Macaca fascicularis: one gene and its partners. The protein of the gene in region 4 purifies or fractionates together with the protein of the main gene of each other region. This does not show direct contact. Links are inferred from orthologs where the notes say so. Each region holds a gene or a part of one and is shown on either strand. Other genes may lie near its edges.

Region 1 (4,128 bases), on a different chromosome or scaffold from region 4:
TTTTCGACAGTCTCACTCTGTCGCCCAGGCTGGAGTGCAGTGGTGTAATCACGGCTCACTGCAGCTTCCACCTCTGGGGCTCAAGTGATCCTCCCACCTCCGCCTCCTTAGTAGCAGGGACTACAGTACAGGCACCATGCTCAGCTTATTTTTGTATTACTAATATTTTTGTAGAGACGGGTTTTTTCCATGTTGGCCAGACTGGTCTCAAGCAATTTGGAGGCCTTGGCCTCCCAAAGTGCTGGGATTACAGGTGTGCATCACCGCGCCTGACCAGGAGTCTAGTTTCAAAATGCAGTGGTAGGGGTTTTTTCAGCGCTAACCAAAAATAAGACAAGCTGGGCAAAACTTGGGCAGCATGTCCTATGCGATTCCTTTAAGCCCAGTATATATTTTCCGAGTTAATGTTTGAGTTTCTTGACTTTGTTAGCTTGCAAGCTATTATACGGAAAGGCAATATTTTATACACTCATTACAGCCTAATAAAACCAACACCGACCCTTACAACTCTGAATTCATTACTTATCAGTTATATTCACTTTGTCTCTAGAACTCTCAATTCCGTCTTCATTTTGGTTATTGCCGCAGCTTCCCTAAATCTCACGTCAGACTGCAATCCTATGGTTCCCCGCAATATTTTGACCATCCCTCCCCCGCCCCTCATCAGCAAACTAGGGAGTACTTCACCATTGCTTTGTGAAAGTAACAATGCGAGAGCTTGTCTATACGTTTGGCCAAAACGCGTCCTCCAACAGTGTACGTCCTAATCCCTTCATTTATCTTCCCACATCCACCCTCCTTCCAGCAAATAAACCTCGGAACTCAGTTGAAATCTGTCACTTACTTCGCTCCTCCTACCAGCGGCCTATTGCTTCTGCCCTCCCCAGTGAACCCAACCTAGTTCCTCTTCCCAGTCCTCCCATTTCTCAAGAAAGACAACCACCTGTTTTTTTCAGGGCTTTAAGTGCTAGGTGTGGTTTCTTCCTCCGCAACCAGCGACCCTCCGTGCCTCCCCACCCAGGACGGACCTCCACCTCGGGAACCGCCGACCGCGCAGCGGCCCCAGGACCCGCAGCCACCCTCTCCCCGGAGCACTACTTCCGGATCTCGGGTGTTTCCCCTTTACGGTTCCCTCCACCCGCTCAGACACCTCCTAGATCTTTATACTAACTAGCAGGGTCGCAGCTGGGACCCTGGCTAGCCGAACGCAACAGTTCTTCTCCACGAAGACGCGCAAAGTAGCTTCTCCAGCCTGAGAAATCCGGTCCGGCTGCGTAGAGTGGCGGCCGTGGAGGGACACTTTGTTTTGAACACCAAGTAGGGCACACCCGGAAGTGGCGCGGTACAGGAGCAGCGCTGCCGCCGGGGGTGGGTGCCAGGGACCTGGAGGTGGAGGGGACGCGGCGATACTCTGGCGTGTGAGCGGAGAGTGGAGTGCTGGGGAGCGGGAGCGGGAGCGGGAGGGGGGGCCTTCTAGCTTTCGTTCTATGGTGGCAGATCCGGCTGGGTTCCGGGAAGCGAGGGCCTCGCGGAGTGACTGGGTTGGTGAAGGGCTACTGCGGCCGAAGGGGAGTCCGCCTCACTTCATTCTTCCACTCTGAGGGACCCGCTCTCTTCTGGTCACTACATCTTCCTCCCTTACTTCGCTTGGCAAGGGGTGTTGTACTTGTGAGGAAGTCGCAGCTGGAGCTGGGAGTCCTCTTGAGTTTTCTCTGCTTCTAAGAGGAGGCGAACGGCCGCCTTGGTGGGGACTTACTGCTTTTGGCCTGAGATAACTAACGCTCTTTCCTTCACTATACGGCCGACTTACAACGTTTCTGTCTACTCCTTTCAGCTTCCGACTTTGACTCCTTACCTTAAAAGATGCTGGAGTCATACGTAACTCCGATTTTAATGAGCTATGTGAATCGCTACATCAAGAACTTAAAGCCGTCGGATCTACAGCTTTCGCTATGGGGTGGAGACGTCGTACTTAGCAAGCTCGAGTTAAAGTTGGATGTGCTGGAACAGGTAAGCTATGTAGCTGTCATGAACTGGAAACAGTTTTCAACTTGTTTAGACGGTAATCTGTTGTATCCTACGCCTTGACTTTGTGCTATAAAAACGAAACTTTTCTACTGATGTATTTTGAACTACCCTGAAACAAGGGAGGCTTATTTTACATTATTTTCTTTTTTTTTGAGATGGCGTCTTGCTCTGTCGCCCAGACTGGAGTGCAGCCGCGTGATCTCGGCTCTCTGCAACCTCCACCTCTGGGGCTCAGGCAGTTCTCCTGCCGTAGCCTCCCTAAGAGCTGGGATTACATGTGCGCACCACCACGCCTGGCTAATTTTTGTATTTCTAGTAGAGACGGGGTTTCACCATGTTGGCCAGGCTGGTCTCGAACTCCTGACCTCAGGTGATCCGCCTGCCTCGGTCTCCCAAAGTGCTGGGATTATAGGCGTGAGCCACTACGCCCGACCTGCATTATTTTTAAAAATAGTTTGTTCCCAGGTGACGGTATATTAGAATGGGATTACTTAAAGTTGCCTTGACAGAAAGACGATTTCATTGTTCATGTCAGAATTGTTCTATTTAGTCAATTTTCAAGCATTATGAATGTGCTAATTTATGTTGTCAAAATTCTGTATAAGCCTGGAAAATATTACATTCTCATTCTCCTTTTTGGGCAGTGGAAGGGTTTGAAGGCCATCAGGAAGTGTGGCTGGCTGGTGGGGGTTGAGGAAAAAAAGATTAAAAAAAAAAAAAAAGCAGGTTCAGATCATGAGGAAAGATGACATTTCCCACAGCATCCTCAGAGTGTTGAGTAGATACATTGAGAATGGCAGTAAAATTGGAAACTTCTTTATTAATCGTTTTAGTTTCTTTTAACATGAGATTGGTCTGATGCAAAAGAACTCTTAACTTCAAAGATCACGTATTCATTAATTCACTTATTACATTTATTAGTAACATATGCCAAGAAATTCTGTTAGGCTTGAGGATCTGTGCAAGCTCAGAAGAATCAGAGACCAAATGATTTTTAGGAGATAAGGGAAGACTTAATCTGACAGTGATAGTTATTGATAATTTTTAGGTATAGTCCACAGCCTCTTTTATTACTCTTTTATTAAGTCAGTCTAGACTTAACACCAAGAAATAATACTCCTGGCTGCTGCTTTTTCCTGTTTCCAAGGTTAGTTGAGTGGCTTAGTATTTTCATTTTCTTTTTTTTTTTTGATGAGCACAAATCCCAAGTATAACAGCTGAGTTTTTTTTTTTTTTGAGACAGAGTCTCGCTCTGTCGCATAGACTGGAGTGCAGTGGCGCCATCTCGGCTCACTGCAAGCTCCATCTCCCGGGTTCACGCCATTCTCCTGCCTCAGCCTCCTGAGTATAGCTGGGACTATAGGCGCCCGCCACTACGCCCTGCTAATTTTTTGTATTTTTAGTAGAGACGGGGTTTCACTGTGTTAGCCAGGATGGTGTCGATCTCCTGACCTCATGATCCGCCTACCTCAACCTCCCAAAGTGCTGGGATTACAGGCGTGAGCCACCGCGCCCGGCCAACAGCTCAATTTTAAAATGTTTTACACCTGTGCAACTACTGTCCAATAAAAAAATAGAATGTTTCCAGCACCCCAAAAGGTTCACCTGTTTTACTTTTAGTAAGTACTCCGGGCTGGGCGCAGTGGCTCATGCCTGCATTCCCAGCACTTTGGAAGGCCAAAGCGGGCAGATCATGAGGTCAGGAGTTCGAGACCAGCCTGGCCAACATGGCGAAACCATGTCTCTACTAAAAATACAAAAAATTAGCTGGGCGTGGTGGCATGCGCCTGTAATCCCAGCTACTCGGGAGACTGAGGCAGGAGAATTGCTTCAATCCGGGAGGGGAAGGTTGCAGTGAGCCAAGATCACGCCACTGGGCTCCAGCCTGGGCGACAAAGTGAGACTCCATCTAGGGTAGGGGGACGTACTCCCCATTCCTAAAAGAGGTGACTGGTAATCTGACTTCTGTCAACACAGATAAGTTTTACCTGGTTTTGAACCTCAAAAAAATTGGAATCACTTGTGTTTGGCTTTTTTCTTTCAACCTTTCTAAGATTAACCCCTGTTGTTAGAAGAGTTTGTTTTTCGTATTGTCAGTAC
Region 2 (4,026 bases), on a different chromosome or scaffold from region 4:
CGAGATAGCTGAGAATATTCTGGGCAAGCTTCACAGCCTGTTTCCTGGCAGCCTTACACTTCTCTTCTCCCTGCGGATCAACAGCATCCAGGGCTAGCAGCTGCTTGGTGAGCAGCTCTTCCAGCCGGATGTAGTTCTTATCGGTTCGATTTCCATCAAATGAAAGAACTTCTCCTTGGATCTCGGACAAGTTTCCAAGGACGTTCCAGACGGCTTTATGGGATGGGTGCTCCTCACAAGCAAACAGCTTTCTTTTCTCAAGGGCCTCCTTCAAGTCAATATACGTGATCAGAGTTTGCACCTCGATCACTGCTCTTCTCCTGGCTTCCCGGATGCAGGGGTTTTTTTCAAGACTTACCTCATCCAACTGTCCAATTAAACCCTGCAATTCTGTTTTGGAGCTCAGGTACAATTCAGGAGGGTTTTGTGCTTGGAGAAGTTCATTTTTTATTTCTCTCATTCTCGTGAGGACCTTTTCTATTTTTAAAATGGAATGATTCTGTCTCAGGTCAAATGCTTTAGTCGTGTCTGCTTCCTCTTCCAAATCCAGATACTTCAATAATTTGTTGATATCTTCTACTACCTCCCTCCGATAATTTCTGATTTCTGTCCGGCCGCACACATCTAGAGCATCTAGGTCAGCGATCAGCCCTGAGAGCACACAGGATAAGTGCCTGCAGGTCTCACTGTTGTTCACGCCCATCAGAAGTGCAATCAGGACCCCTCGGGCCTTGTTCACCTCACACATCACAAAGTTGATTTTGGCCACGGAAGGATGTGCATCCTCGGAAAGCGGCAGGGAAGGCTGCTTTTTCATGCAGTCTTCGATAATCTCTTGCACCGCACAGATTTTGGTTAAAGTGTGATACCTTGCTTTCCGCAAGGAGATTTTTCCTCCAGTTTTAACATGTGTCAGCCTCAGAATGATATCCTGGATGCCTTCTTCAAACTCGTCAGTTACGCAGTTGCCTCCATTATAAAATGGCACAATTTTCTCTCTAACGAGGGACTGGGCTTCCTCAAAAATGTTCTGTATTTCAATCCGGTGTGGGTGGTTTGCATTCTGCTCCAACTCTTTGAGAAGACGTTCTGTCTCCTGTGCTGCCCTCTTCCTAGCTTGCTGAATATCTCCTTTTCCTTCAGTATCTACAGAGTCTATTTCAAAAAGTTGTTTTGTTAGAATCCTCTCCAGTTTCTTGTAATTCTTGTCATCTGACAGACCACTGAAGCCGACAACTTGCTGTTCTACACTTTTTACTTCCTTTTGGATTTCCTGAAGCCTACTAATAGAAGGATGTTGGTTTCCCATATCCATACTTTTGTTGTGTTCAGTTTCACAAGCACTAAAAGATGACAAGAATAACTTATTACAGCACAAGGCTTCTGCAGAACACTAATGGTATACTAAGTCATTCTAAAATTCTCATTTTAAAAAGGCATACTTTCGAGCAGTCATCCCACCTCAGCCTCCCCAGTAGCTGGGACTACAGGCGTACACCACCACGCCCAGCTAATGTTATTATTTTTAGTAGAGACAAGTCTCACTATATTGCCCAGGCTAGTCTCAGACGATCCGCCCGCCCCCGCCTCTCAAAGTGCTGGGATTAAGGTGTGAGTCACCGTACGCCGCACAAACTATTTGGAACCGGCAGGGCACCTTTATGCAAGGTGAAACAGTAGCTCTTGTAACCTTCCGAACACTAACAGTACCCCGCCCCGCCACACAGCTATGCCTAGTTTCCAGAAACTCTAAGCAAAATAAACTGAACCAGTAGAACAAAAACCAGTGGCTCTCAGATATCCCCAAGTTCCCGCTTCTTCCCTTTGTGCACTTCCCCTCCCCACCCTTTTAGCTCCTCACACATCTTCCCTCCCAGATGTCTCCCCGAAGAGATAAAAACCCCACAGGTAAAGAAGAGGGACGGGGATTGCGCTGAAGGGCACCACCTTGGGCTTTCGAGGCCCAGCACCTCCTCAGCCCCCAACATGCTCCACTGTCTCAAAAAACTACAACCTGCGAAAATGTGGTAACTGAATAATTCATTCACTCGCCTCCCACTGAGAGTCCACAATCGCCTAATGCACGTTTCAAGCTCTTGGTTTCTATCAAACGGCTCGCTCAAGGTGGGTAACCAATGGAAACGCATCATCCATCCCCTGTGGATGTTCTGGAGGCCACGGAGGGCAGGCGGCCCGAGTTCCTTCCTCCCCGCCTCGCCCTTCCCTCTTGGCTCTTTACCCAGAAGAGGTCTGAGCTGGCTGCGATCTTGGCGTCCCGTGGCTGAGGTGGCGAGGTGGAAGATCAGCCCTTTACGGGGTGCGGCACCGGAGCTGGGCCCCCAGCTGCATCCCTCGCGCCCCTCCCGACTAGGTCTGAGCGGGGCAGCCGGTGAAGGGGCCGGCGGTGAAGGGGCTGCTACTGGCTGCAGCAGCCGCTCCGGGCGTCTCGGCCTAGGTGCCAGGGCGCGCCCGCAGGCCCTGACCTCACAATGGGCGCGCGAGGGGCCCTCGGCCCGGCCGGGGGAAGCCGGGGAAGGAGGGGAGCCAAGGCCCCGCCGGAGACACCAGAGACCAGGCCCGACCACCCCTGGACAGCGTCCGAGCCAGGGACGGGGACGGCGCCGAGACCAACTCTGCTCGGCCTGTGCCGACAGGCCGCGCTGGGGTGGGCGCTGGCAGAAAGGTGGTCCAGCGGGGAGCCCCGCGCGGACGGGGGGCCCCACTCGTCCCCCCGACGGAGGGAAAAGGCCACACGCCGCGCTTCGCTCACCTGTCCCGCCCGCGCCATCGCGCGATGCGTCGCCGACGCTTCCACGACTTCCGCAGCTCCGGCCGTCGCCCGGGCCAGCCAGCCCACGCCCCTGGCCGAACACCCCTAAACCCGGGGACACCTCCTCCGGCGTCCGCGCCTAGCCGCCGACAGCGCCAAGCCCACCGCCAGCGGCGCAGCAAGGCAACTTGGAGTGACAGCGACCAAGGAGCGGCCGCCCGGGTCAGCCCGCGCCGCCCGCCGCTCCCGTAGGCCGTCGTACCGCGGGGAAAGCGCACGGTCGGCCGCACCGCCGCCCTCCCTCGGGCTTCGCGACCCTGCCGTAAAGCGGCCTCTCGCGCCGTCGCAATGCTGCCGTGCGCCGCGGGAGCCAGGGGGCGTGGGGCCATGGTGGCCTTGCGGGCGGGGAAGAAGAGTCTTCTCCGCGCTCTCAGCCGCTCCTTCGTCTGCCGCGGCTGTCAACTCGCTCCGGAGCGCGGCGCCGAGCGCAGGGATACGGCGCCCAGCGGCGTAAGCAAGCGCCTGGGGATATTGGGCCGGGAGGGGTGACCGGAAGGAAAGACAAACCGGGGCCTCGGGGCAGCTGCCTGCCATGCACAGCCGCCTCAGGCCTTTCTGCAGGTGCGCTCGCGTCCGATCCCGAACAGTCCCGCAGCCCCAAGGCTTCCGCGTCAGGGCTCTCGGTCGGATGGGACTGAGGGTGCCGCCGCCACGCCGGAGACTGTTGACAGCCAGAACCTTTAAGCATAAGAGTCTTATTTGTTCCCGAGAATGATTATTTTTTATATTTAAAGAGCTCTTGGCTTAGCGTGCATTTTTTTTTCGTGGTCTGTGTGTGTGTGTGTGTGTGTGTGTGTGTGTGTGTGTGTGTGTGTGTTTTGGCTTTGTTAAAATTATTAGAGCTTTTATTCAAGCGGTGAACACTTTATACTTTATCATCGTACTTTTGTAGCACTTCACGTTCAATAGTTGTTCTTATTTGCAAACTATGTGTGGGTATATGCATGTTACTGGCCAAAGATCCGCAAAGAATGTCTGTAGCAAGAAAGAGTGGCAAGCAATTTTTCTAAGTCATACTTTTGGGAGGGATGTTTTGTTTAAAGGAGGCCTAGGCCTTGATTCCATCTGTCAGATGAAAATGTTGGCTAACGGTGTGGAATGGGCTGGAGATAAAATATTCAAGCAAAGCATGCAAATACCAAACAGGCTAATGAAGGAGGCTGGAAAACTTGGTTTAAACAATAATTAAAGAAGTG
Region 3 (3,514 bases), on a different chromosome or scaffold from region 4:
GAGGCTCACTAACTTAAGATCACACAGTAAGGGATCCAGGCAGGACCCAAGCCCAGGTCAGCCTGAAGGCTGTGCCCTCTCTTGCCCCCAAACCATTCTACTCTCTCTGGGACATGAGTGAGTTGAGACTGACAGGGAGTCACCCCTGGGCTAGAGGTGGCCAGGTAACCCCTTCTCACTGACAGAGGCTGCTCCCCACTTCAGGACCCTCCCCCTATCAATTCTGCTGCTGAGAACAAGGAGGAGCCTGGTAAGGGGACTCAATATGCCCATAACATGAGGAAACCCTGCAGTGGCCGAGGAAACCAGTCAGGAAGGGCTCCAGCTTTGGGGGGAACTTCATTCCGGGAAACCAGTCCTGACCACCTACAAAGACCTAAAGAGATAAAGAATGGCACGAGCCCAGCGAAAAGCAGCCAGGCCCTGGGCACAGAGCTACTGGGCTATCTTCTCTGGTGACACTTCCTCAGGCCACAGGGCTGGATGACTCCACCAAACAATGCCTAGGCCCCCAAAGATCCAAGCACTTCGCATTCTACCGGATCTTCTAGCATTTTTGTGAATTAAGCAGAAGGCAAGGCTTGCCCATTCCCTTCCCCCTATCAAAACTGATCCTGTTTCCTTCCTGTGCGATAGGTGCGCATAGACACAGGCAGGCCTGCACAGGTAAGACGCAGACTTCTGCAAAGGAAGTGCATCCATCGCCCCATTCACTGAGTGCCAACGTCACACCCCTCTCAGAGTCATGGCCCCATTTCTTGTTCATGGTAAACGCGTAAGAAAGGCTCTGCTGGCTCAGAGCCTTTGGTTTCCATTGGCAAGGAAACCAAAGTTAAAGAGGCTGGTCCAGGCCCTGCGGCTTGTGCCTGCATGGGAGGAGCAGGTTGTGGCCCAGGGCCTCTGGGACTCTGCACATGTGGTTGGCCCCTGCTCCTCACTGCTCCTCCCAGAGACCTGCCAGGGCCAGAGCTGGAGAGCCTCCTGCAGGGGCTGGAAAGCTAGAGGAGGGTCTCTAATCAAAGGATGATGTCCCTGGGCCCCCTCGGGGACATCACCTGAAAAAGCAGCTCCTTGGTATCGATGTCATACACCAGGCAAGTGTCGTTTTCATCTACCACGGCCAGCTTCTTACGGGAGGCACTCATGTCCAAGCAGCGCACGGCTGTGGCCTGCTTCAGCAGGATGATAGCAAAGAGATTGTCCACGAAGATCTTCAGGATCTGGCAACGTTTCAGTGAAAACAGTGTCAGTCACCATGGCAACAAGATCCTGGCCCACTGCCAGGCCGCTAGAATCCCATGTGCTCTGTAAGAACAACTCCCACCACCTTCACCAGAAGTTCTGTGCAGAGAAAAGGACTCCTCAAAAGAAAGGGGGGGGGTGGTGGGCGCGTTGGCTTATCCTCAGCAGGCCAGAAGCGAGGTTCATCAGAGGCTGCAGACGTAATGACAGCCCCGAGACAGGCCAAGCTCACTTCAGTGTCTGTTCGGACCGGGGATTTGTTGATGACATTACCCAAATGGCAGCGTTAGGAGAGGCCACCTAGCAGAGATCTGAGTCACGAACTAACACAGGAAAAGGCTACTATGAACACTGACAAGACATGTGGTAGAGAATTATAATAATGATGATGACAGCCATCATCTACTGATATCCCTGGTTTAAAAAAAATTTTTTTTAGAGATAAGGTGTTGCTATGTTGCCCAGACTGACTGCAGTGGCTATTCACAGTCTTAATCATATCACACTGCAGCCTTAAACTCCTGGGCTCAAAGTGATCCTCCTGCCTCAGCCTCCTGAGTAGCTGGGACAACAGGTACCCACCACCATGCCTGCTTTAATACCCCTGGTGTTTTTTGTTTGTTTTTTGTTTTTTAACACTGGCTTTAACTCCCAACCTTGATGATATCTGGTTTTGACAGTCCTATGAAATATGTGGTATTATCCTCATGTAAAATCAGCCTCACAGAAGTAAAGTGACCTGCCCAGGATGACAAAGCCAGTGAGTAGCTAAGTAAGAACATGACCTCAGGTTCACCTGACCCCCAAGTCCATCCTCCCACGGGAAGTGAGAGCTGCCTGAGAAAGAAGCGGCCGTTCCTCCCCTTGGCATTGCTGCTTGACTTCACTCACTGCTCTCACGCCCCGTGACTTCCGTCCCCAGCAAAGACCTGACAAGCCTCAGCCATAAGCCATCTGCTGCACAGCTTGGCTGTCAGGCTAATGCAGTTACATTGTCACTTTCAAAGTTCCATGTGGCAGCCCACTTAGAACTTTTCTTATGCTGAGTAAAGAACACACATGTACACACACACACACACACAGAGAAATCTGTTTAACTTTGTGTAACCTGGATATCCCACATCTAACTGGCCAAAGGGCTCATTTTTCTTACGACATCTATCAGTACCCTGAGGACCCAGCATTCTCTAGGACACATGCTGGAATACACTGCCTTAATCCACTCGCTGCCCTAATCGGGAGCTGACCTAGGTAACAATCTCTGCCTCCCTCTAGAAATCCACAGAAGCAGCATCTCTAACAAATCTCCCACCTTCTGGTGACCTTAAGCCACTAATCCACTTTACATGTAGCCAAAGGTTATAGCTCAACTCTGCCAAAACATGGGCCTGCTATGAGTGTGACAGCCACAGCACCTTTGGCCTGAGGCTGTCCTCAAAACCTGAACTCAGGGCTGCCCCACAATTCAACCATGGAGGAGAGAAGCCCTTTTCCTGCCCTGAGAACCCAGCTCAGAGTCATTGCTAGACGGGTCACCCACGTGTGCATGTAGATTATCAGCCTGAGAGGAGACATGCGGGAGTGCTCACCTGTCCATTCTTCAGCCCCACTAACAGGCCTTCCCTTCCAGGAGGGCCGCCGATCACCTTGATGTAACGAATGAGAGACTCCATCTGCCACTCCCGCTCCTTCACTCCGCTGAAGGACAGGCACTGCAGCCGTTTCTCCTAAGAAGCAAACCCAGATCTCATGGAAATTCAACAGAATAAGTGCTCCCAGCCCTCCCCAAGGAGGTCTTCCTGCCCCTAAAGTGTGAAAATACCTACACATTCAGTATCTATCTATCTAACCCAATGTAGACCCCATAATTGGCATCGTTAATCCAAGACTCCGTGCAAGGCTTCCCCACAGAGCCCAATTCAGCCTCAGACTTTCAATGCAAACCTCCATCCAGGCAGCCTAGGCCAGAGGCAGCACTCAGAAGTACACATACTTGCCAGTACACACACTTGCCACACGTATCCTGTAATTTGTGGCAACCCTAAACCGCTTGAAGTTCTAGACTTTGATTATTGATTGATTGATTTTTGAGACAGAGTCTCACTGTCACCCAGACTAGAGTGCAGTGGCGCTATCATAGCTCACTGCAGCCTCCAATTCCTGGCTCAAGCAATCCTCTTGCCTCAGCCTCCCAAGTAGCTGGGACTACAGGCAAGTACCATCACACCCAGCTAATTAAATAATTTTTTTTTTGTAGAGATGGGGTCTCAGT
Region 4 (3,514 bases):
GGCACATTTGTCTTCAAGGATAAACTACCTTTACCACACCATGTTAGTGCCCAATGAAAACATGGACATAGCAGGCTGCTTCCTGCCCTCCTTTGTTCCAGAGGCCACCTAGAGGGATCAGAAATCACTCTGATTTTTAACTGCTAGAATTCTGCAAGGGCAAGGAGTCTACTTTTTGTTTCTCATGTTGTGGAGGGCCACAAAAGCACTCAGGCCATTTTCAACCGTGCATGGTGACCATCAGTTACACTGGAGAAAAACAACAAGCTTGCCTCATACTCTTCCTCCAAATCACTCCTAAAAAATAAATGATCACTTGCATAAGCAAAACAACAACAAAAAAGCAACAGTAGCTGCTTAAGATTATCCCACAGCCCCTAGCCATTCTCTTACTGGAGGAAAGGGACCTTAAAGAACAGGTGAGAATATCCTTGCAAATTGTCCAACTGCCCTCAAATTCCATGGAGATGACAAAAGCTTGCCTCTTGGAAGGGAGTTCCCAACAAGCTATTAACCATAACAACTTTTCCTCTTTCATCTTGCTCACCTTCATTGGGCAGATTTCCCAAGACCCTTTGATGTCCCTTAAAAATATATCTATAGGCCCCAAGATGTAGATCAAGAGCTTACCTTGGAATTAACCGTACCCCGATTACAGTAGAGTTTAGCATTTGTTTTTATATTGTTGGGGTCTATCCCCAGGGCTTCTGTGTACAGTTCATATGCTAGTTTGTAATTTCCTTCCTTAAATGCTTTATTCCCATCTTCTTTCTTTGCTTTGAGTGCTTTGGCATTCTACAGAAAAAAGCACGGGGAAGATCGGTTCATATCCACAAAGCCTCAGACCACTGCACAGAGAAGCCAGAGTCTATTTTCAAGTTCTTGGCTTATGGTAGTTTAGCATCACAGAGCCCCGCCAACCCCCAATCTGGGCTATCTGTTGCTCATTTGAGCTTTCTACAGACTGGACAGGAGAAACCAAGAGTCACCAAAAAGACCTATGTTACTGGGTCTGCCTCCACTTCCCAGGGCAAGTATTACTATCTATCTTCACTGAGGGGAAAAACAAAACAAAACCTTCTTAGATATTAAAGGCATCTGACCCTATATGATCAAATTTACCTTTAGGTAGATAAAAGTAGTCCTAAAACCATTTCTAATAAAGACCAAGCATGCTTGCAAAGCAGGAGGAAAGGCTATGACATTCCCTGTGATTCTAAAACCTTCCCCTCTAGCCATCTTAAAGGTCCCAAAAGGAAGCTTTCTTTCCCAGTTAGGTCTGGTGACTAGAACTTACTCTGCAGGCAATGCAGGCTTTCTCATGGTCAGGAGCCATCCTGAGAGCCTGTACGAAAAACTGAACTGCCTTCTCAATACAATCTTCATAATAAAGGCAAAGACCTCGTACATATAGAGCATCTGCATTGGTAGAATCCATTCGTAGAATGTCACTGCAATAGTCAGAAAAGGGCACATTGAGCTGTGCTTTAGAATGTCCCCACCATTACTACCATTTGTGGCCAGTTTTTTTTCCTTGACCATGTGTCTGGCATTCAGAATATCCAAAGGTAGACAGATTCCCAAGAACTGTTCCCAAACTTTCCCCAAATAAACCACCTATAATTATCTTTAAAACACATCTTGTGTCTTACAATCCTCATTAAACTAGAACAGGGTTTGGCAAACTACAGCCCACAGGGCCAAATCCTTTCTGCCACTGGTTTTTGTAAATAAAACTCTATTGAAACAGCCACATCTATTGGTTCATCTATTATCTAGGACAGCCTTTGCACTGCAATGGCAGAGTTGAGTTAGTTGCAACAGAGACACTGTGGCCTGCAAAGGCTAAAATCTGGCCCTTTGCAGAAAGTTTGCTAACCAGTGGAGTAGAAGGAAAAGACTACCTTAAACAAACAAACAAAAACTACAAAAAACTCACGTAACACAATCTGTTCTTTCGTAGATAGTACCTGCTATACTATTATACTCCTGTATACCCTATGGGTTTTCAAAGCTGGTCTAATCTTTGACTTTAAGTCTTAAGAGGGTCTCATCAGCCCTAGCTGGCCTGCTCTGGGGACCATATCCTGTGGTGAAGCTGCCGGACACCATCAGACCAATGGTATCCGGCATTTTAATGCCCAACTGGCCTGACTGCATACCTAGCCACAGACTGTGCTTCTGGATAACGACCCAGCATTGCTAAACATTCTGCCTTGAGGATTTTGAAGCGATGGCAGGCAGGGGCAAATTCTAGGGCACGGTCCATGCAGAAAACAACCTGTGGGGAAGAAAACAAATAAGGCTCTTCATCAGGGACTCCAGAAACATCTTCAGTTTAGTCACAGGAAACAGACTCAAAGCTCAAAGAAGTCTTTGGGTCCACTGTTAAGTAATATCAAAGTTTAAAAACATACCTAATTCACTAAATAAACGCACTGAAATGAGGAGAGCAAAGATTCCAGAGGATAATGATGGTGAACATTTATTGGGTGACTTTGTATATGAACCCATTTAATCCTCACAACAACAATTTGTGAAATAGGCAATATTATAACTTTTTTTTTTGAGACACAGTCTCGCTCTGTTGCCCAGGCTGGAGTGCAGTGGCACGATCTCGGCTCACTGCAATCTCCGCTTCCCGGGTTCACACCATTCTCCTGCCTCAGCCTCCTGAGCAGCTGGGACTACAGGCGCCCGCCACCGTGCCGAGCTGATTTTTTTTTTGTATTTTTAGTAAAGACAGGGTTTCACCATGTTAACCAGGATGGTCTTGATCTCCTGACCTTGTGATCTGCCCTCCTCGGCCTCCCAAAGTGCTGGGATTACAGGCATGAGCCATCACACCCAGCCTTAAAATAGTTATTTTAAATGGCTCTAAACAGGCTATATCAGATTACTATTCCCAGCATGCCACTATACAAACCACAAGCCAAGTAGCTCTCACACACACAAAAAGGTGGGGATTAATTTACTCTTTCAGCCTCATAAAGCATCTTTTTACTAGTTTGTCCTCTGAGCTTTCAGTTTTGGTTTAGTTGCTATTTATTCCTGGGAGAGCCTTGCTGAATCACACTCACTCCAAGAATAAATGAACCAAAGGAGAAATGTGGAGTTAAAGGACACCTATTCCCTCTAAGAATCTGGCCATGGGGATCAAGAAGAGATAAACTCTGAAAACTTACAAGCAGAAAAATTCAAATTCCATCAACAGGAGACTGGTTAGATAATGTGGACATTCATATAATGGAATACTATGTAGTTCTAAAATAAAATAAAGAAGCTCTTCATGTACTAATATGGAAAGAGTTCCAAGACCTATTCAGTAATTTTTTTTTAAAGGTGCAGAACTGCCAAAAAGCATACATCTTTCATGCAAGGTAAAGGTAGAAAATCCAGGATCTTTATTTTATATATGTACAACAAAACTACAGAAGCAAATAGAAGACATAAGAACAGTGGTTAGCTTAGGGGAGTGAGAACTGGGCAAAGAGAGGACAAGTTTGAGGGGACA
Region 5 (4,193 bases), on a different chromosome or scaffold from region 4:
TGGCCCAGGTACAGCAGGTAGTACCTGAGGGTGTACTGTGGGGCCGGCAGGCCGGGCACTGTGACCACTGCCTCATCTGACATGAAGGCCTCCATCTCGAGCTCCAGGCACCAGGACTGCTGTGAGCAGCGAGGAGAAGCAGCCAGACACCCCATCAGGACAAGCTCTGGCTCCGACTCCTGGTCCTAGAGACACACAAGGGCCCAGACTGTCTGCTTCACAGACAAGGACGCTTATGTACCCAAGTCGTGCCCACCCAACTCACCTGAGGCTGTGACTGTGGTGGGTCCACACCGCAGAGGGCAGACAGCTGGGTGACCGCGGCCCCCACATCTGGCAGGAGGCAGAAGGTGGTGGTCGAACAGTGCACAGCCAGCTCAGGGGGATTGGTGGTCACCAGATGCTGTGAGAAGCCAGGTCAGGGTGCCCGGCGTGGTGGACCCACAGGGAGGCCCCGCCCCCACGAAGACCCGCTCTGGAGGCCCCGCCCCGCCGATGCCACGCCCCGATGAAGACCCGCCCTACGGAGGCCCCGCCCTCGAGGCGGGCCGCACCTCGCCGCCAGCTTCCAGGCCAGCAGCCGCTCCAGCTCCCTGTCACATGCTCTCCGCTCTGCCCCTGATGGCCGCTGGCAACTCCTCCCGATACCTGGGGAAGGGCGGTGAGGGGAGGTCCGGCCACAGGGTACGCTCGCCCACCGATCCCTTTATCCCCTTCCACTCTACCAACGGCCCAGGGCTTCCAGCCGCACTCGGGGGTCCGCGCGCACCCGTAGGACCTCTCGATGGCGCTCCGGAATGGCGGCCCAGCGACTGCGGTCCTTACACCCAACAGCGCGGGAAGCCACTATGTTCACGCGGAGGGGCGGGGCCGGCTGCCGGGGGCGGGGCCGGCTGCTGGGGGCGGGGCTTCTGCGTAGGGGCTGGCTGCTGGGGGCGGGGCCTCTGGGTGGGGCGGCCTGTTGGGGGCGGGGCGTCTGCCGATGGGGCGGGCTGCTGGGGGCGGGGCTGGCTGCCGGGGGAAGGGCCTCTGGATGGGGCCCGCTGCTTGGGGAGGGGTCTCTGCGCGTTGCGGCGGGGGCGGAACGCCAGGTGGTCGGGACAGGCTGTTGGGGGAGTGCGCCCTCAGCGAACCAAGGCATCTCACTGGGAAAGTCGAATGTGTGTGGCGGTCGCCGCCGAGGCCGGTTCCGAAGAGGCCTCAGCAGGGCGGGCCAGGGCCTCCGCGAACGCCGACCCTTAAGAGCGCCGAGCGAGGGAACCGGAGTGTTCCTCCCAGCCCCCGACGCCGCGGGCCTAGCGTCCCCGTCCAGGCTGATTGGGCGCACGCGCGGCCCCACTCGCCCCCACCCGTGCGTCCCCGCTGGTCCCGCCCCCGGCCGGAAGTTCCGGCGGTGGAGCTGGGCCGGGCCCGAGAGGATCGCGGGTTCGGGCTGCGGGGCTCGGGCTGCAGGCGCTGGGCCGCCAGGCGCGGAGCTTGGGAGCGCAGCCCAGGCCGTGCCGCGCGGCGCCATGAAGGGCAAGGAGGAGAAGGAGGGCGGCGCGCGGCTGGGCGCTGGCGGCGGAAGCCCCGAGAAGAGCCCGAGTGCGCAGGAGCTCAAGGAGCAGGGCAACCGTCTGTTCGTGGGCCGAAAGTACCCGGAGGCGGCGGCCTGCTACGGCCGCGCGATCGTGAGTGCGCTCGCGCGGGAAGGGCGGCGGCGGCGGCGGCGGCGGCGGCGGCGGCGCCGGGGAGGGCCGGGCCCGTGCCCGGCTGGCCCCACCGAGGGTCTGGTTCCTCTGCGGGGCATGTCCTGGGCTCCTAAAGCCCAGCCGTGGTTCCCGAGCCCAGCGCCGGGTGTCGGAGAACGAGGGTGGGATGCTGGATGGAGGCCGGCCGGGTCGGGGGGAGGGCAGGGGCCCTCGCCCCTTGAGGCTCCCAGGTCCAAAGCCTGGACTCTCCAAAGATTTGGAAAACTTTACAAAACCAAGTGGAGTCAAGCGGATAGGCTCAGCCAGTACTCCACTGTCTGCAGATCCTTGGATCCAGGGGCTTTGACGACTGAGAAGCCTAGTTTCTTGATTCTAGCCAGAGCGCAGAAGCTGGGACGGGCCGTGGGACAGAGGGGGCGCGCTGAGCCTACACCCTCATGCGGCTGGCCCGGCCTTGGTCCCTAGACCCGGAACCCGCTGGTGGCCGTATATTACACCAACCGTGCCCTGTGCTACCTGAAGATGCAGCAGCACGAGCAGGCCCTGGCCGACTGCCGGCGCGCCCTGGAACTGGACGGGCAGTCTGTGAAGGCGCACTTCTTCCTGGGGCAGTGCCAGCTGGAGATGGAGAGCTATGATGAGGCCATCGCCAATCTGCAGCGAGGTTGGCTGACAAGCTGCCCGGTTGTGGGGCCCCTGGGGCCAGGCGGGTGGACTGGCCAGAGAGTGACCTGAAGCCCCCGTTCCCCAGCTTACAGCCTGGCCAAGGAGCAGCGGCTGAACTTCGGGGACGACATCCCCAGCGCTCTTCGAATCGCGAAGAAGAAGCGCTGGAATAGCATCGAGGAGCGGCGCATCCACCAGGAGAGCGAGCTGCACTCCTACCTCTCCAGGCTCATTGCCGCGGAGCGTGAGAGGTGGGACCCTCACCCCAGGTCGCCCTGTCTTGGGGTAATTCTGAATCACCAACTACCAACATGAGCGTTTATTGAAGGTTTTACTGGCGAGCAGAAAACGTGGGGAAGAAGCATGAATGTTAGCCCTGAGGTTGGGGTGTGGTCAGACATCTGGCCAGGTCCATCTCTTACTGGCTCCTGGTCAACCCCCAGGGAGCTGGAAGAGTGCCAGCGGAACCACGAGGGTGATGAGGACGACAGCCACGTCCGGGCCCAGCAGGCCTGCATTGAGGCTAAGCATGTGAGGGTGCCCCCCTCCCACATGTGGGTCTGTGTGTGTGCACCTGGCGTGGGAGCATCCCCGCCTTGTGTTGGGTCTGTGCCCCATGGAGGAGGGAGGTGGGGTGTCCCGCACAAGTGCAGTGCTCAACTCTTCACAGGACAAGTACATGGCAGACATGGACGAGCTCTTCTCTCAGGTGGACGAGAAGAGGAAGGTGAGTGTCTGTCACTTGCTGCGGTGGGTGGCAGGTGCTGGAGCAGTGCCCCTTCCCAGCCTCTGATCGTGTGCCCCTGTGCCACAGAAGCGTGACATCCCCGACTACCTGTGTGGTAAGATCAGCTTTGAGCTGATGCGGGAGCCGTGCATCACGCCCAGTGGCATCACCTACGACCGCAAGGACATCGAGGAGCACCTGCAGGTGAGGCTGCGGCTGGGGGAGCAGGGCCAGCAGCATGGTCCTGGGCCCACTGACTGCCCTCTGCCCTTCTTGTCACTGCAGCGCGTGGGTCATTTTGACCCCGTGACCCGGAGCCCCCTGACCCAGGAACAGCTCATCCCCAACCTGGCCATGAAGGAAGTCATTGACGCATTCATCTCTGAGAATGGCTGGGTGGAGGACTACTGAGATGCCTTGCCCTGCCCAGCATCCTGGTCCAGGAGAGCCCTGGGCGGAAGCCCTCCACCCCTGTACATAGTTTGTGTTGCTGGCCACCCTGGCCCCTTCCAAGTTCAAGTTCTGCTGTTGGGCTCTGGACTATTCCCCCTCTCAGCATAGCTCTTGCTGGGCCATGATTGTCCCCCTTTGTGGGCTGGAAAAGCAGGTGAGGGTGGGCTGGGCTGAAGCCACTGCCGACACTGTCTGTGTAATAAAATCCATGAGCACGAGATGGGACGTGCTGGTGTGTGGCAGGCATGCCTGCCAGCTGCTTTGGCTAGCCGAGGAAGGTGGAGATGAAGACGCTGGTGTCAAGGTTGAGTGTGGCATGCCACCAGCGGTCAGGGAAGTACAGCACCTGGTGGAGAAAAGGGGTGCAGCACAGATTAGCTGGGGGCCTCTGGCCTGGCCTGGCCCTCTCCTGCCAGCCACTGACCTCACCAGCCCGGATGGTACACTCCAGGGGCCGTGCAGACGGTGGCAGGGCTGGATATGTGTCCCGGAGCCAGGCCAGCGTGGTCTTGTTGGGGTGGAACTCTGGTGTCTTCTCAGGTGGGTAGAGGAACCAGCGCTGGGGGCAGGAGCAGCAGCGTCACCCTTGCCTGTTTTGGTCACCGAGCCCCAAGGCTCAACCCCAACCCTGTGCTGACCTTACGGCCGTAGATCAC
Region 6 (4,102 bases), on a different chromosome or scaffold from region 4:
TATTGGCAGAGAGGACACACTTTAAACCCTGGGAAGATGGCATTACCCAGAGAGGGGGAAGGATGAGGACACTGCAGAGCCCAAGACCATTGCCAGACCCGAGTCATGCGGCTCCTTTGTTCCAGGAACCACAGCTGACTCTAGAAGCAATAGCAGCATTTTCACTCCGCAGGTGCATCTCTTCCACGCTTTGGGGTGCCTGCCCTGACTCTGACTTCTGGGGCTGGGATTTAAGGCTCTACCAGGCCACAGTTAGCCAGCTCATAGGCGGTTAACTACCTGATTCAGCTCTTCGTCTCTTTCACTCCTTTACATCGGACTCACGAGGGCTGGGGGACAGCTCCCTTTCGCTAAGTACTTTCCGCGTGCTAAACACCGCACGAATTCCCCTCGGCCCTACAGGACCAAACGACTCAGAGAGGGTGTGCGGTTCCACTGAGGACGCCCAGCAGAACAGCCGCACCCGCCGCGATGAGATCCCCTGCCTGTCCAGCCCAAGCCCAAGCGCCCTCGCGGTCACGTGGCATTTCTGGAACCTAACAGCCAGAATGCAGGAGGGCCAGGCCGAGGCCGCAGCGCTGAACAACGCGCGCAACTGGCGGTCGAGGACCACGCAGCGCGACCGGCTAGGACCTCCATCTCGATGCGTGGGCGAAAGGCTGGGGCCCTGTGCCGCTGGCGATCCCGGGGACCGCCTGGAACTCGCGGCACTAGGGATCCAGATGGAAAGTAACCCACAGGCACCGCAGCCGCCGGAGACACGGCTACAGTACCGGACTACGGCCGAGACTGCCATATGCCACGGGCGGGGCGAAACCCAGCCTTTTGAAAGGCAGCGATTTAAACCAATCAGCGCAGAGGGTTGGCAACCCTCCGCCCAATTGGAATCGCTCTCATTCTGAAGGCGGTTCCGACTTGGAGTCCGGCAGCCCAATGGGAGAGGTGGAAATTTCCAGAACGAACGGAACCAATGGGCGCGGCCAGCGCGGCTACGATTGGCAGAGCAAAAGACCAATCTGTGTCGCAGAAGTCCGCTCCTCCCTCCGTTCGTGCAGCCTGAGATGGGTGGGTTTATAGAGCGGCGTCCAATCCTGAGGTGCGGGGGAGGCAGGGTTGAGGGAATCACTCCCCGCTGTCCAATGAGAGGGAAGTGGAGATGATGGGCTGGACCTCAAGCCAGTAGTAGAACAGCACAGAGAGCCCCCTAGAAGTACTCGACCAGTGAGCAGGCGAGGAAGGGGCGGGAGCCGGGGTCCCGGCAGCTTCTAGTAGGTTCCAGAAGGCGGCGCGTGCGGTTGGGATCGCGGAGCGGACGGATTCGATTCAACGGGGTTCCGGGCCGCGCTGCGCTATGGAGCAGGTGAAGGGGGAGGGGCGGGCTGAGGCCCCGAGACCGCTCGGGGACCGGCGGAGGCCAGGCCCGCGGTAGGGGGCGGGGCGGGTGCCAGATCTGGGCGACCGGAGCTGGGTGCTGGAGCCGGACGGGGCGGCGGCGGGGAGGCGAGGGCCGCGGGCGGCGGGCGGGAGCGGGATCTGTAGAGGCCGGCCGCGGGGAGCGCCCATCGCCCCTTGGTTGGGCGAAGAGGGCCGGGAGGAGGCCACAGCTTGGGTGAGTCCGGCCGGCGGCGGGAAGAGGGGCCGCGACCGGGCCCTGAAGGTGTCCCGAAGGGGCTGCTGCAGGCTATGCTGGGGAGGGTGCGGGCCGCAGAGGGCGGGGTGGAGTTAGGCCAGGGGCCGGGGTCGGCACCCGCGAGGTAGCGCTCCGGGAGATCTGAGACAGCCGACGGAGAAACCGCTCGGACTTAGCCACGAGGAACTTGGACGGATCCAGGGAGCGGGGACGGGAATACACTGGGTCTTAGCAGCCTGAGATCCAGTTGGGGCAAATCTTACTCTTCTGCATCTGAGAATGTGAGGGTGGGAGAGCGTTGAGCGGGGATTTGAGGAGCTACAGAGCGAGTGTAGCTGATGCAGTAAAGGGAAGGGTGCCGCAAAAGTCCTTGGAACGAATTCCATCTCTGACAGTGGTTTACAAATGTATTGCGGCCCCTCCCCCTCTTTTTGTATGCGTGTGTGTGATTGTCGAGTGACCGAGGACCGACACTTCCGAAAGGTGGATTTCTAGCTACACTGGGGCGGTTGTAGACAATTTGCAGAGATTAACCGCTAGAAGTTATGGGCCTCTGTTGAGCATTTGGGGGGCAGAGTTTGAAGCGGCTGCTGCTTCCTTTCAGTGACTTGGTTATGTCCTCAGTAGCTTGTGGTTGTGAAAGGCCTAGAGATTTTGTTCCATTGGAAGCTGTCATTGAGCTATAATGATTCATCGGAAGAAAAAGAACAAAACAACCTCCGAGAAACCTCTACCAACATCTGAGAAATCATCTGCTCGAGAGTACTACCCTCGTCGCTCCGGGCCCATAACACTTCGGGGTGACAGTTCTGAAACTATACCTGGTATTTGGTTCTTACTTCAGATCCATAAAACTAAGATTGCCCACACGCTCCCCTTAAGTAAGACATCTCGATGGACTAGTGACTACCACCCTTTTTTTGGTGGAGTTCCAGAGCTGAGCCTTTGGTCTCTTGTAGCAGTTGCTGCTTTAGGCAAAGCTCGAGCTTCCTTGCTGTATTAAAAAGAGTGGAAATGAAGTTAATAAACTTTTTGTGCCCATATAATGCTTCAGTTGTGTCTAGGATTAAATGGGCTGTATTATAGGTGAGGAAAAATTTTCTGGAATAAGACATTGCTCTTTTACTTTTAAGAAAGGATCTCGGCTGGGTGCAGTAGCTCGCACGTATAATCCCCAGCACTTTGGGAAGCCAAAGCGGGCGAATCACCAGAGGTCAGGAGTTCGAGACCAGCCTGGCCAACATGGTGAAACCCCCTCTGTAATAAACGTACAAAAATTAGCGGGGCATGGTGGCGCATGCCAATAATCCCAGCTACTGGGGAGGCTGAGGCAGGGGAATCGCTTCACCCCTGGAGGCGTAGGTTGCAGTGAGCTGTGATTGTGCCACCACACTCTAGTCTGGGCGACAGAGTGAGACTCCGTCTTGAAAAAAAGAGAAAGGACCTCTTTCTGCTGTTACCAAATTTATTTTTTATTTTTTAGAGACAGGGTCTGGTTCTGTGGCCCAGGCTGAAGTGCACTGGTGGGATCATAGCTCACTGCAGCATCAAATTCCTGGCCTCAAGCGATCCTCCTGCCTCAGCCTCCTGAGTAGCTAACCACACGCCACCACAACTGGCTAATTTTTAAATTTTTTGTAGAGACAGAGGTTTTGCTATGTTTCCCAGGCTGGTCTCGAATTTCTAGGCTCAAGCTATCCTTCAGCCTTGGCCTCCCACTGCATGAGCACTAGGATTACAAGCGTGAGTCACTTTGCCTGGTCTTAAAATGTTTGTTTTTAAATCACCACCACCCATGGTAGAAGTGTATGTGCAGATAGATAGATGGTGAATGAATATTTGACTTAGGACAGCAAACTGACATGGCGACTGTACAGATGACCTGGCATTTAACCCCAGGTGTGTTTGAGCCCACCATCTGGAAGCCATTCCTGAAAATAAACAAGACTTTGTTTTCATTTTCAACTGTGAGGTTTGTATTTCAGTTTAGAAAATACTCAAGTTGGTCTGGGTGCGGTGGCTCACACTTGTAATCCCAGCACTTTGGGAGGCGGAGGTGGGTGGATCATGAGGTCAGGTTGAGACCAACCTGTCCAGCATTGTGAAACCCCATCTGTAGTAAAAATTTAAAAAAAATAAAAAATAAAAAATCGCCCCGGGGGCGGTGGCTCACGCCTGTAATCCCAGCACTTTGGGAGGCCAAGGCGGGTGGATCATGAGGTCAGGAGTTCGAAACCAGCCTGGCCAATATGGTGAAACCGTGTCTCTATTAAAAATACAAAAATTAGCTGGGCGTGGTGGCATACTCCTGTAGTCCCAGCTACTTGGGAGGCTGAGGCAGGAGAATCGCTTAAACCCAGGAGGCGGACCTTGCAGTGAGCCGAGATTGTGCCACTGCACTCCAGCCTGGGTGACAGAGCAAGACTCTCTCTCAAAAAAAAAAAAAAAAAATTAGGTGAGCATCGAGGCGTG
Region 7 (4,218 bases), on a different chromosome or scaffold from region 4:
AGCTGAGATCCGGCCACTGCACTCCAGCCTGGGCTACAGAGCGAGACTCCGTCTCAAAAAAAAAAAAAAAAAAAAAAAAAGAACGGGGAATATTTATGAGGTTCTCACTGCATTCCAGGCACTGGAGACCCAATGCAGACAGGACCTGGCCCCTGCTCAGGTGGCGATCTCAGACTGGGAGGGAGGACACATTGAAAGCCAAGAAACAAAATAAATTTCTAATTTAGCAGCAAGTGCTCTTGAAAGGGCAGTAAAGTGAAAAAGGCGGGACTGAGAGGACCTCGGGAGGTGAGCTTTCGCCCAGATCCTCACCTCGCTTTAGGAAGGGAGAACAGAGGCAGTCTTCTGTCCCAACATCCTTCTCCCCACAGTTGGGAAAATAGCGCTGGTGGATTCTTTGTTTGTTCATTTTGTTTTATTTTACTTATTTATTTATTTTATTTTGAGACGGAGTCTCGCTCTGTCGCCCAAGCTGGAGTGCAGTGCCCCGATCTCGGCCCACTGCAACCTCCGCCTCCCCGATTCAAGCTATTCTCAGGCCTCAGCCTCCTGAGTAGCTGGGATTACAGGTGCGTGCCACCACGCCCGGGTAATTTTTGTATTTTTAGCAGAGACGGGATTTCACCATGTTGGCTAGGCTGGTCTCGAACTCCTGACCTCAAGTGATCCGCCCACTTCGGCCTCCCAAAATGCTGGGATTACAGGCGTGAGCCCCCGCGCCCGGCCTGTTTGTTTATTTTAAAAAGAAACGGAGTCTGCTTATGTTGCCTAGGCTGGTCTCAAACTCCTAGGCCCGAGAGATTCTCCTGTCTTGGCCTCAGGAAGTGATGGAAATTACAGTCGTGAGGCTCCGTGTCAGGTTCTCTTATTGCCATATTGTAGAAAGAAAGAGACCCCTGGGTTAAGCAGACGCGGGTTAGGTTGTTCGTCCGGCGTCACCCGGCGGAGGCCCACCGCAGGTCCCGCGAGACAAGGGCTGGAAGGTTTATCACCTCCTGGGGAAAAGACAGGCTAGTCCCAGGCCCCACCCCTTCCCGGAACATCACCTTCGCGACGGCTCCTGACCCACTGACCCAGGCGGAGGGCGGGACGCAGGGTCGCTGGGGCGGTGCAGAGTGTGAAAGAAGCTCGCGATTGGCTCGTCCCGGAAGGTGGGCGGGGCCTCCTCCGACCTGTGCGCGCGCCGCCGGGAGGCGTTGTCGAGGGCGGAGCGGGAGGGGGCGTGGCCCCGCGCCGGCGGCCGTTGACGGCAAAGCGCCGCCCCGGATGTCGCGTGTCACGGAAAGGGTGGCGGCGATTGGCCGGCGCCGCGGGCGGGGGGGCGGGGCGGAAGGTTCTGGAGGGGGCTGGCGGGCTCTGGAAGCTTCCGCCGGACGGGTATATAGAGTCCGGGACCGGGCGGCGGCGTAGCCGGGGGACGGCGACAGCGGGTCGGCGGGCCGCAGCGGGGGGCCATGGGCAAAGACTACTATCAGACGCTGGGCCTGGCCCGCGGCGCGTCGGATGAGGAGATCAAGCGGGCCTACCGCCGCCAGGCGCTGCGCTACCACCCGGACAAGAACAAGGAGCCCGGCGCCGAGGAGAAGTTCAAGGAGATCGCCGAGGCCTACGACGTGCTCAGCGACCCGCGCAAGCGCGAGATCTTCGACCGCTACGGAGAGGAAGGTGTGTGCGCGCGGCCAGGGGCGCGGTCCCGCCGTTTGACAGGGAAACCGAGGCATACCGGCCCCTCTCGGCGGCCCCCCGGGAAGGACGCCCCGGGCCCGGGGGCCGAGCTGCCCCGCCCTCCGGCCGCTCGGGCCTCCGCCCTTGGATTGGCGGCCGTGCGGTGCGGGGAGGAGCCTTGGCCCAGCCGCTCGCCCAGAAGCTTCTAGCATGTCTAGGGCTGCCCCTCCCCGGGCGCCTCTTCCCGCGGCCCCGAGCAGCCCCGGGGTGCGGTGCAGGGGGGTGGGGGAGCCGGGGGTGACGACGGGAACGGCACGGCGGAGCCTGCTGCGGACCCGAGCTCACCTGGGCTTAGCCGCCGGGGTCCGCAGGGCGGCGCCTGCGGCTCAGCTGCGGGGCGCGGGGCTGTAAATGCAGGCGCCGATCCCGCTCGCGGGCCTTGGGGCTGGGCTGGGATGATTTCCGGGAAGTGATGACCTGGTCCCGGCCGAGCACGCAGGAGGCAGCGGCCGCCTAGGTGCGGAGAGCTGGGCCGCCTGGGGGTTTGGGGGGACGGAGAGTGGGGCTTTTTGTCCCTGTGCCCCTTGATGACTCAGGCTGGCTTCTGGGCTTGATCTGGGACTGACTTATTATGCAAGGATGGTGGCAGTGAATGCTAGTGTGAGGGTTTAAAAACTCTACATCTTTTTTTTTTCCTTATTTTCACTTTTCGTACACATCAGTAGTCCTAAAATGTTGAAAGTAAATACCGAAAGCCGACCCTGGACCGTGTGTGTTTAGCCATCCCTTGGTGACATTGCCAGGAGGATGGGTCAGTCCAGGAGTGGCAGGGCCCAGGTGGCACCTGTAGGTGGACACCTAACCGCATGAGTCCTTTTCCATTGTCAGGCTATGCGGAAGTACTTGGGGGGGGGGGCAGCTCTGCTGCTGCAGTGAGGGGTAGAAGCTTGGGGTTCTTCCTTGCTCTCCCCTGGCAGGCTAAAAAAAGTTCCTCCCCCATGGCCTCCAAGCTTTTTTCCCCCGTAAGGGAAGCTCGAGAGGGAGTCTGCTGTTCAGCCATCTGACTGCTTCTAATTCTGCTTTTCAGGCCTAAAGGGCAGTGGCCCCAGTGGCGGTAGCGGCAGTGGTGCCAATGGTACCTCTTTCAGCTACACGTTCCATGGAGACCCTCATGCCATGTTTGCTGAGTTCTTCGGTGGCAGAAATCCCTTTGACACCTTTTTTGGGCAGCGGAACGGGGAGGAAGGCATGGACATTGATGACCCGTTCTCTGGCTTCCCTATGGGCATGGGTGGCTTCACCAACGTGAACTTTGGCCGCTCCCGCCCTTCCCAAGAGCCCACCCGAAAGAAGCAAGATCCCCCAGTCACCCACGACCTTCGAGTCTCCCTTGAAGAGATCTACAGCGGTTGTACCAAGAAGATGAAAATCTCCCACAAGCGGCTAAACCCCGACGGAAAGAGCATTCGAAACGAAGACAAAATCTTGACCATCGAAGTGAAGAAGGGGTGGAAAGAAGGGACCAAAATCACCTTCCCCAAGGAAGGAGACCAGACCTCCAACAACATTCCAGCTGATATCGTCTTTGTTTTAAAGGACAAGCCACACAATATCTTTAAGAGAGATGGCTCTGATGTGATTTATCCTGCCAGGATCAGCCTCCGGGAGGTAAGGTGCCAGGTGGGGCGGTGTCTGCAGAGCGCGATGGCTGCTCTTTGAAGCAGTTTATTTAGGTTTTGCTGAACACGCATTGGGTGTGTGGCGCTTGCCAGGCTTGGGGCACCACAGTGAACAGGACTGATCAGGGTGCTGTTCTGGAGCTTTCATGGTGGAGACATGTCGATTTGGGGGCCAGGTGTTGGCTGCAGAGGCCTGATGAGTCTTACTCTATGCCAGATGGTCTCCGGGCAAGAGCTGAGCCTCTTGAGCCAGCTTCCATCTAATGCTTATCCCTTTGCTTTTCAAGGCTCTGTGTGGCTGCACAGTGAACGTCCCCACTCTGGACGGCAGGACCATACCCGTCGTATTCAAAGATGTCATCAGGCCTGGCATGCGCCGAAAAGTTCCTGGAGAAGGCCTCCCCCTCCCCAAAACGCCCGAGAAACGTGGGGACCTCATTATTGAATTTGAAGTGATCTTCCCCGAAAGGATTCCCCAGACATCAAGAACCGTACTTGAGCAGGTCCTTCCAATATAGCTGCCAGAGCTCCGACTGACCAGGGACCTTTCCAGAGCTCAAGGATTTCTGGACCTTTCTACCAATTGTGGACCATGGGAGGGCCCAGGGAGGACTTTCATACTGCTGAATGTTTTCCAGAGCATATATTACAATCTTTCAAAGTCGTACACTAGACTAAAGTGGTTTTTCGAGCGATAGGGCATCAGGTGGTGGGAACAGCAGGAAAAGGCATTCCAGTCTGCCCCACTGGGTCCGGCAGCCCTCCCGGGATGGGCCCACATCCTCCTCCTCCAGTCCCTGTCCAGGGGTAGAGGCAGACCAGCAGCTGGACTTGATCCCTCTGTGTCCCTTTGCTTTTGACTGGTAGATAATGT

The links.
Region 1: the proteins of DNAJC7 (region 4) and VPS13B purify together in Homo sapiens (co-immunoprecipitation; 3 studies listed by BioGRID and IntAct, counting the BioPlex papers as one, with this or other methods). This does not show direct contact. The link is inferred for Macaca fascicularis from reciprocal best matches to the Homo sapiens genes DNAJC7 and VPS13B.
Region 2: the proteins of DNAJC7 (region 4) and BAG5 purify together in Homo sapiens (affinity purification with mass spectrometry; 4 studies listed by BioGRID and IntAct, with this or other methods). This does not show direct contact. The link is inferred for Macaca fascicularis from reciprocal best matches to the Homo sapiens genes DNAJC7 and BAG5.
Region 3: the proteins of DNAJC7 (region 4) and IFT122 purify together in Homo sapiens (co-immunoprecipitation; 3 studies listed by BioGRID and IntAct, counting the BioPlex papers as one, with this or other methods). This does not show direct contact. The link is inferred for Macaca fascicularis from reciprocal best matches to the Homo sapiens genes DNAJC7 and IFT122.
Region 5: the proteins of DNAJC7 (region 4) and STUB1 purify together in Homo sapiens (affinity purification with mass spectrometry; 3 studies listed by BioGRID and IntAct, with this or other methods). This does not show direct contact. The link is inferred for Macaca fascicularis from reciprocal best matches to the Homo sapiens genes DNAJC7 and STUB1.
Region 6: the proteins of DNAJC7 (region 4) and STIP1 purify together in Homo sapiens (affinity purification with mass spectrometry; 4 studies listed by BioGRID and IntAct, with this or other methods). This does not show direct contact. The link is inferred for Macaca fascicularis from reciprocal best matches to the Homo sapiens genes DNAJC7 and STIP1.
Region 7: the proteins of DNAJC7 (region 4) and DNAJB1 purify together in Homo sapiens (affinity purification with mass spectrometry; 3 studies listed by BioGRID and IntAct, with this or other methods). This does not show direct contact. The link is inferred for Macaca fascicularis from reciprocal best matches to the Homo sapiens genes DNAJC7 and DNAJB1.

The regions. Positions count from the first base shown.
Region 1 is NC_088382.1:108,641,004-108,645,131, forward strand, and holds the start of VPS13B (intermembrane lipid transfer protein VPS13B), read left to right. Parts: upstream 1-1,324; 5' UTR 1,325-1,368; exon of another isoform or gene 1,369-1,744; intron 1,745-1,834; 5' UTR 1,835-1,863; coding exon 1,864-2,010; intron 2,011-4,128. UniProt on the Homo sapiens protein: Mediates the transfer of lipids between membranes at organelle contact sites. Binds phosphatidylinositol 3-phosphate. Functions as a tethering factor in the slow endocytic recycling pathway, to assist traffic between early and recycling endosomes.
Region 2 is NC_088381.1:171,733,447-171,737,472, forward strand, and holds the start of BAG5 (BAG family molecular chaperone regulator 5), read right to left. Parts: upstream 2,808-4,026; 5' UTR 2,151-2,807; coding exon 2,053-2,150; intron 1,344-2,052; coding exon 1-1,343. Other genes in the region: COA8 (cytochrome c oxidase assembly factor 8), read left to right, coding at 3,158-3,280. UniProt on the Homo sapiens protein: Co-chaperone for HSP/HSP70 proteins. It functions as a nucleotide-exchange factor promoting the release of ADP from HSP70, thereby activating HSP70-mediated protein refolding.
Region 3 is NC_088376.1:153,914,053-153,917,566, forward strand, and holds part of IFT122 (intraflagellar transport protein 122 homolog), read right to left. Parts: intron 2,970-3,514; coding exon 2,832-2,969; intron 1,221-2,831; coding exon 1,056-1,220; intron 1-1,055. UniProt on the Homo sapiens protein: As a component of the IFT complex A (IFT-A), a complex required for retrograde ciliary transport and entry into cilia of G protein-coupled receptors (GPCRs), it is required in ciliogenesis and ciliary protein trafficking.
Region 4 is NC_088390.1:63,034,843-63,038,356, forward strand, and holds part of DNAJC7 (dnaJ homolog subfamily C member 7), read right to left. Parts: intron 2,282-3,514; coding exon 2,163-2,281; intron 1,452-2,162; coding exon 1,298-1,451; intron 796-1,297; coding exon 631-795; intron 1-630. UniProt on the Homo sapiens protein: Acts as a co-chaperone regulating the molecular chaperones HSP70 and HSP90 in folding of steroid receptors, such as the glucocorticoid receptor and the progesterone receptor.
Region 5 is NC_088394.1:1,434,360-1,438,552, forward strand, and holds STUB1 (E3 ubiquitin-protein ligase CHIP), read left to right. Parts: upstream 1-1,389; 5' UTR 1,390-1,511; coding exon 1,512-1,670; intron 1,671-2,014; exon of another isoform or gene 2,015-2,156; coding exon 2,157-2,355; intron 2,356-2,442; coding exon 2,443-2,608; intron 2,609-2,661; exon of another isoform or gene 2,662-2,800; coding exon 2,801-2,888; exon of another isoform or gene 2,889-3,027; coding exon 3,028-3,084; exon of another isoform or gene 3,085-3,171; coding exon 3,172-3,495; 3' UTR 3,496-3,755; downstream 3,756-4,193. UniProt on the Homo sapiens protein: E3 ubiquitin-protein ligase which targets misfolded chaperone substrates towards proteasomal degradation.
Region 6 is NC_088388.1:10,210,731-10,214,832, reverse strand, and holds the start of STIP1 (stress-induced-phosphoprotein 1), read left to right. Parts: upstream 1-1,293; 5' UTR 1,294-1,351; coding exon 1,352-1,360; intron 1,361-1,494; exon of another isoform or gene 1,495-1,609; intron 1,610-2,254; exon of another isoform or gene 2,255-2,454; intron 2,455-4,102. UniProt on the Homo sapiens protein: Acts as a co-chaperone for HSP90AA1. Mediates the association of the molecular chaperones HSPA8/HSC70 and HSP90.
Region 7 is NC_088393.1:14,953,352-14,957,569, reverse strand, and holds the start of DNAJB1 (dnaJ homolog subfamily B member 1), read left to right. Parts: upstream 1-1,408; 5' UTR 1,409-1,454; coding exon 1,455-1,665; exon of another isoform or gene 1,666-2,182; intron 2,183-2,752; coding exon 2,753-3,333; intron 3,334-3,631; coding exon 3,632-3,862; 3' UTR 3,863-4,218. UniProt on the Homo sapiens protein: Interacts with HSP70 and can stimulate its ATPase activity. Stimulates the association between HSC70 and HIP. Negatively regulates heat shock-induced HSF1 transcriptional activity during the attenuation and recovery phase period of the heat shock response.